Regions from separate parts of the Mus musculus genome. Here region 2 is reported to be linked to region 1. Evidence: microRNA targets listed by miRTarBase, many of them from high-throughput screens and not tested one by one. Region 1 holds a microRNA gene; the other region holds the end of a gene's coding sequence.

The links. Region 1 holds the annotated microRNA mmu-miR-935 (CCCAGUUACCGCUUCCGCUACCGC, at 1,640-1,663, opposite strand). A microRNA usually pairs through its seed, bases 2 to 8, with sites in the 3' UTR of a target mRNA and lowers its output. Matches are read on the target gene's strand: a 7mer-m8 pairs with bases 2 to 8, a 7mer-A1 pairs with bases 2 to 7 and ends in A, and an 8mer does both.
Region 2: the mRNA of Ndufc1 is a reported target of mmu-miR-935. The part of its 3' UTR that is shown has no 7-base or 8-base seed match.

Annotation. Positions count from the first base shown.
Region 1 is chr7:3,413,377-3,416,782 of GRCm38, reverse strand. It overlaps Gm23450 (predicted gene, 23450), which reads right to left and starts at 1,717; the gene lies at 1,627-1,717. It overlaps Cacng8 (calcium channel, voltage-dependent, gamma subunit 8), which reads right to left. Exons shown (of 4, transcript NM_133190.3): 4 at 517-1,944. The coding sequence ends at 1,178.
Region 2 is chr3:51,404,345-51,407,750 of GRCm38, forward strand. It overlaps Ndufc1 (NADH:ubiquinone oxidoreductase subunit C1), which reads right to left. Exons shown (of 4, transcript NM_025523.1): 3 at 2,992-3,068; 4 at 1,135-1,275. The coding sequence ends at 3,009. Among named protein-coding and RNA genes, the nearest start is that of Ndufc1, 2.9 kb to the right of the region's middle.

The DNA of each region.
Region 1 (3,406 bases):
CCATTTTTTTGTCATGACAAAATCCTGAGTTAATTATCTCCCCCCCCAAAAAAAAACCAAGTTAATTACCCCTTCTTGGAACACTCTGTAGCATCTCAGACCCCCCAACCTGCAAATTGTACCTTTTTTAAAATACAAGAGTCTCGTCGTTCAGGCTGGCCTCAACTTCAATATACAAATATACAGCCCAGGATGACCTTGAACTCCATTCACCTTCCAAGTGTTGGAATTAGCGGTGTTTACCGCAGTACCTAGTGTATGCGGTGCTGGGAATGGAACCCAGGGCTTGTGTTAGGCAAGCACTCTATAAACTGAGCTACAGCCCCAGAGGGCCTCTACATTTCTAAGTGTCATTTACTGGGTATGTATGTGATTTTGTGATTAATGGTTGTCTCAAGTACAAGATGTGAACTCTCTGAAGATGCCAGGAACCCTATTTTCTTCCCTTCTGTGTGTTCAACGGTGAGTACAATGCCTAGCGGTTATGCGCGCGCACACACATAAAACTTCCAGAAATGAATGAACGGATGCGCCTTGCGTTTATGTCCCCTCCTCTCTAGCACCACCTTCTGTACCATCACCTGGTACACAGTAGGTGCTTAATAAGCCCTTGTTGAAAGATGAAAAAGTGAACTAAATGTGAGCGCGTCTCTCCCTTGGCCTTTGCCTTCTGCTGGTCTCTTTATACAGAACATGTGTATATATAGTTGTAGATGTAACCCTATATTCATGTGTTATGTGCCCCTCTCCAGGAGTTGGGCTGGGCTGGGCTGGGCTGGGCTGGGAGTCCCTCCCTCCCCTCCCCCCGCCCCGCCTCCACATGCACACAGCAAAACATTTAAAAAGAAAACATCTCAAAACTGCAAAAAACACCACGGGCCCTCCCTCCCTCCCCTGAAATCTTCCCAACACAAAAATAAAACACAGCGCTCCCACGCTGGAACCCCTTTCCCGTCCCGTCCCCCTCCCCAAGGGTCCCTGTTTCGGAGCGTGACGGGGTTCCCCACGCCCCCAGGGGCGGGTAGAGGGTGCGGAGAGGGGCTAGAAGGCCCAGCGGTGTCCAGCGCGCTCGCGGGGATAGACCTGGGGGGCACCCTGATCCGGCGGCCTCGTTGCACGCGCGCCCGCGCACGCGCCCCGGACACGCCCCCCGGCTCCCCCGCGAGGGCGCACGCCCCTACACGGGCGTGGTTTTCCTGTTGAGCGTGTTGGTGTTGGACGCCGCGGCCTCTTTGGACAGGGTCCCGGGCGCGGGCGCTGCAGGAGCGGGCGGCGCGGGCGCGGGCGCGGGTGCAGCGGGCGGTCCGGTGACTGTGACCGTGACGCCGGACGCCGCTTCCTTGGGGAAGGCGTTGTGCAGCGTGAGAAAACCCGCCGAGCTCCCGCGGTCCCGCTCCGAGCCCGCCCCGCCGCCCCCCGCCGCCCCGGCCGCCCCGCCGTAGGCACCCACGCCGGCACCGCTGCCGCCGCCACCGGCGCTCGCCAGCCCCGCAGCCACGCTGCCCTTGGACGGGTCGCGGCTGAGCGTGTACATGGAGATGTCCGTGGAGGCGAAGCCCGGGCCCCCGGGGCCGCCGGGAGACGCATCCCGGGATGGCGACGCCTCGCTGGAGCCTCGGGAGCTGGAGCGGGAGCGGCGGCGGTAGCGGAAGCGGTAACTGGGCAGACGGAGGATGGCCGAGGGGCCGCTCCCGCCACTGCCGCCCGCGCCGCCGCCGGCCTTGAGCAGGTCCGAGCGTGATTGGCAGTGTGCCTCGCGGCTGCGCTCGATGTAGATGTTGACGGCCAGTACTCCGATCACCTCAGCCAGGATGAAGGACAGCCCGCCGAAGTAGAAGGACCAGCCGTACGAGTAGTGGTTTTTCTTCTCCTCGTCCCTCTTGGGGCCAGGCTCGCCGGCGTTGGCCGATATGTACACAATCACCCCGATGATGTTGCTCAAGCCTGGATGGAGACGGTCATGTGGGAGCCTCAAGGCCGCCAGGGCTCCAGCACTACCAACTGTCTTAAAGCCCCAAGACTCTAAGCCAGGTATTCCTCTGGCTAAATTCCACCCGAGGAGTCTAAGCCACGAGACCCACTGGACTAAAAACTACTCGAAGTGTCTAAACCTTGATCCCACTGGGTTAAACTCCAACTCAAGAGTCTTAAGTCCTGCCCACCTGGTCTAAGTCTCACCTGCATTGGGAGTCTAAGTACTCCACTAGTCTAAGAGGCTATCTCTACTGGACTAAATTCCACCAAGGAGTCTTAAATCCTTATCCAGTAATCTAACTCCATCCGTATTTCTGCTGGGCTAAATTCTACTCCAGCAATCAGAGCCCTGCCCCATTGGCCTAAACCCTACCTAGCAGTATAAACCCTGCCTGCTAAACTCTACCCAAGAACTTAAGTCTCACCTTTACTGGACTAAATTCCATTCTAGGAGTCTAAGCCCCGCTGTCATTGGTTTGAAATTCACCCCTACCGAGGTTTAAGTACCACTCCAATGAGCTAACTCTGCATCAGGAATCTAGACCCTGCCTCCAAGAGTCAAAACTCTCCCAGAGAAGTCTAAGGTCTGCTCCTATAGGCAGGCCTACGCCGGTCTTCAGAAATCTAAGCCCCTCCTCCACTGGCCTAAAGTACTTCCCTTGGAGGTCTGGCCTCTGCCTTCTGGGTTAGCTCCATTCCCCAGTTAACATTGGCCCTACTTTTAACTGGCCCAGGCCCCCCTTTCTGCTAAGTTCCATAAGTCTCACCTACATGGATCTAAATTGCACCCGTATGCGGTCAAGGCCTTGACCCCAAGAAGACTCAGATCTTAACCTTCTGAGATTTCTGGCAATGGCTGACAATGGCTCATCTCTATCCTAATCATCTTAATTCTTTTCCGCGGTCTAGCTATCACCCCCAGGTAGTCTGGTTCTGCCCCTTCTGTCTAGCCTCCACTGGCCTAAACTCTGCCCCAGCTCATCTAGGCTCAACGTTGACTGGTCTTAAACCTACCCTTCCTGAGGTAGTCTCAGGCTCGGTTTCCAGCTCCTGGCTGAAGTATAAACCGGTATCTCCCTCTTCTCCTTTTGCTACGAATGATGCAATTCCACTTTAAGTCTCTAGGCTCTGTCCATTGCTGACCTAACTCCCCGCACTACAGAGTCCTTGGCTAGGTATGTAACCTAATTCACTCTGGCTAGCCTCAAGTTCGACCTTCTTAGGTGGCCTTTGTACTCCAGGCCCAACCTCCAGTTTTTTAAACCCCAGGCCCTGTAGGTGTAGGCTAGACTTCCACCCTGCCACATACCTCTCCCAGACCTAAATTCAGCCCCTCCCTGAACAGATCTAGACCACCCCTGTCTACAACATACACCCTGCCATTTAAATGTGTTAAAACTCCCCTCTAGGAGTCTAAGCCCCATCTTCATTA
Region 2 (3,406 bases), not on the chromosome of region 1:
GCACTCACCAGAAGACACACACACACACACACACACACACACACACACACACACACACACACACACACACACACACCAGTTAATTTTAAAATGGCTTGGCTACCTCAAAGGCTGGGCACTCTTAAACCTTCCCCTGCTACCCCAGGCCCAATCTAAAGGTAGCTGGGCGTGGCGGCACACACCTTTAATCCTAGCATTTGGGAGGCAGGTGGATCTCCGAGTTCAAGGCCAGCCTGGTCTACAGAGTGAGTTCCAGGACAGCCAAGGCTACACAGAGAAACCCTGTCTGGAAAAAACAAAAAAACAAAAATCTAAAGGTTCCACCCTGTCTTCCTTTGCCTAGCCATTGGCCGCTGGCATCTTTATTGATCAATCAAAAAACAATTGGGGACAAGGACCTTCAGGATTTGGACACAAAGATTCCCAATTAAATCAAAACATTAGAACCAATCCCTAAGAGCATTCCCCTAACTGACAATAAAAGCCGGGCCTACAAGTCCACCAGGGATCTCCATGGGAGACCCCTGCATGTGGGAAATTCAGCTAACACTCTCTACTTTTGCATGCTATTTGAGGCTAGGGTATTATTTTTTCGGCAATTCTTGGACCCTAATAATTGTCTTTCTTCCTATCATAGATCTTTCTCTAGTTACTGCATTTACATGAGATTGGTCTATAATCTGTCAAGTTTTACTACTCACTCTATCAGGACTCCAAACTGACATAAGGAAAGTTGGTATTATTTTTGATTTTTCATAGCATTTGTATATCTAATCTCAAATACTGTAATTTTGAATTTATGTCCAGAATGACATCCAAAGACACTGTGCAAGGAAGGCTTAGATAATAAATCATTTTAAAGTACATCTACTCTCTAGCCTTTTTACAATTTTCATTCATGTGATTAAACCCAGGGCTTCAAGAATTCTGTGCTAGCTGGGCATGGTGGTGAACGCCTTTAATCCCAGCACTTGGGAGGCAGAGGCAGGCGGATTTCTGAGTTCGAGACCAGCCTGGTCTACAAAGTGAGTTCCAGGACAGTCAGGGCTACACAGAGAAACCCTGTCTTGGAAACAAAACAAAACAAAACAAGTAAGAGTCCATCAGCACTGACCAGTGACTCCGTCTACACATGAGGAGCGCGAGTATTTTTATTTCTTTAACTTAACCATGCAAAACGTGTTGACTGACTCATATTCGCATGTAACTCTTTTCTCACATCCGTCACTGAGGGTGAATCCAGAGGAAGGACTGTGATCATCACATGAAGCTGACCTACAAGAAGAGGGAAAAACAACAACCAACCAAGGGACTGATCAGATAATCTTAAAACTGACATCTCTGAATAATTCATCTTAAAGCATCAGAAAAAAAATCTAGAAAATATATCTATTAAATAATATCAGAGCCGGGCTTGGTGGCGCACACCTTTAATCCCAGCACTCGGGAGGCAGAGGCAGGCGGATTTCTGAGTTCGAGACCAGCCTGGTCTACAAAGTGAGTTCCAGGACAGCCAGGGCTACACAGAGAAACCCTGTCTCAAAAAAAAAAAAAAAAAAAACCAAAAAACAAACCCTCAGTACTTAATTTTAGATCCATAGCATAAGTACTGAAATGGGCAAAGTGGTATAAAAAAGCAGCAGAAGACTTGGACAATAAATTCTAAAGTGTTAAATTTCAGAGTTCTTAGATAAAGAAAATGTGTGTTGTGATTACTATGTTTATTATCTAGCAGATACAAGGTATTTTTATCAGTGTAACCCATGGAAACTGACATATTTTGTGTGTGGTGCATGTGCATGTCTGCATGTGTGCACAGCAACAGGAAGGCCCCAGGCGGATGCTGGGGGTGTCTATCAATGGCTTTTCCCCTTATTCATTGAGGCAGGGTTTCTTGATTGGCCCCAGAGCTCCCCAGTGGCTAATATGATTAGCCATCTTATCCTGGGAATCCTCTGTCCACTTCCAGAGTTTTGGAATTCCACGTGGATGCTATGCCTCCTGAGCATCTGAGCTCTGGTCCTCAGGCTTATGTGGCGTTGCTTTAACCACTGAGCTAACTCCTCAGTCTAGAAGATACGATTAATTGTAACGAGGGATTTCACTTTATCAAGAACTCCTTTCAAATAATTTTCAGAAATAAAGCATATACTTTAAGTGATATATATATGCTTTGTGTGACACACGCGTGCACAAACATACTCACAAATCTTCTCTCTTAAATCATTCATATTAGGTTTTACCTGAGCTCCTCAGTGGATGCTAGCTGTAGTGACAATCATAACATGGCCACGCAGAAAAAAAAATCCTGAATCCGCTGCCTCTATACAGTCATTTGTCCTACAAATACTAAACTCCTAAGATGGCTGGGCATTCAGGACAGTTTGAGAACGTGAACATTAATACAGAAGAAAGTCACGTTCAAGTATAAGAACAGCAAACAGACATTAGGAAGCACACGCAAATGATGCCAGCTTGTCCCAAGTGCTATGAAACAAAGCGTAAAGTACCAGTGAAGAAGATGTGACTCAATGTGGTGTGGTTACTGTTGATTTCCCTGCTGTCTTTGTTTGGGACTGGGTCTTGATGTGCAGACCAGGCTAGCCTCAGATTCAGCATCTCCTTGCCACAGTTTCTGCAGTACTCGCATTACAGGTTTGCATGGCCTCATCCAGTACTGGTGTCACCCTGCAGGCACACTCCTTAAATCTCAGCACTTCGGAGGCAGAGGCAGGTGGATCCTAGTCTATATAATGCGTTCAAGGCTATGCAGTGAGACTCAGTCTCTCTTTTGATGCAGGGTCTCTTTACTTAGCCCTGGATGTCCTAGAACTCACTACTTAAACCAGGATGGCCTCAGAGAGACCTGCCTCCCTCTAGCCCTCTAGTGCTAGAACTAAAAAAGGCATGTGTCCTTGGAGTGGGACCCTGCCTCATTCACAAACACACAGATAAACTTCCATAATCTATGTCCTCTATAACTGTACTTACTGTATTATTTCCAAAGTTTATTCCAATCCATTTCTTCTTTTATACTCCAAAACATCTTCATTGTGTGTTTGGATGAGCTACAAGATAATGGTTAAAATTAGAAATGTGAGCTTCCAGCAGCTTAAAGACCAAGAAACCAAGTAGAGATCCTTATGTTTCATGAGAGAAATTGGGTGGATTAAAACAACTAAAAAGGTAAGAAATTCAAATTCAAAAATTATTAGTGGAATAATTTGTTGGCCACAGCCTGACATTAAATTTGAGAATGATACAGTGGAAAGCATATGGAATTATAAGAAGTGACACTCTAGCTGTTGAGTGTGTTGTAGGCTGGCTGATAAGTATATGCTATACTTTTGTGTACCTCTGTGTGTGTGTGTGTGTGTGTGTGTGTGTGTGTATGCAATGTCTAAAT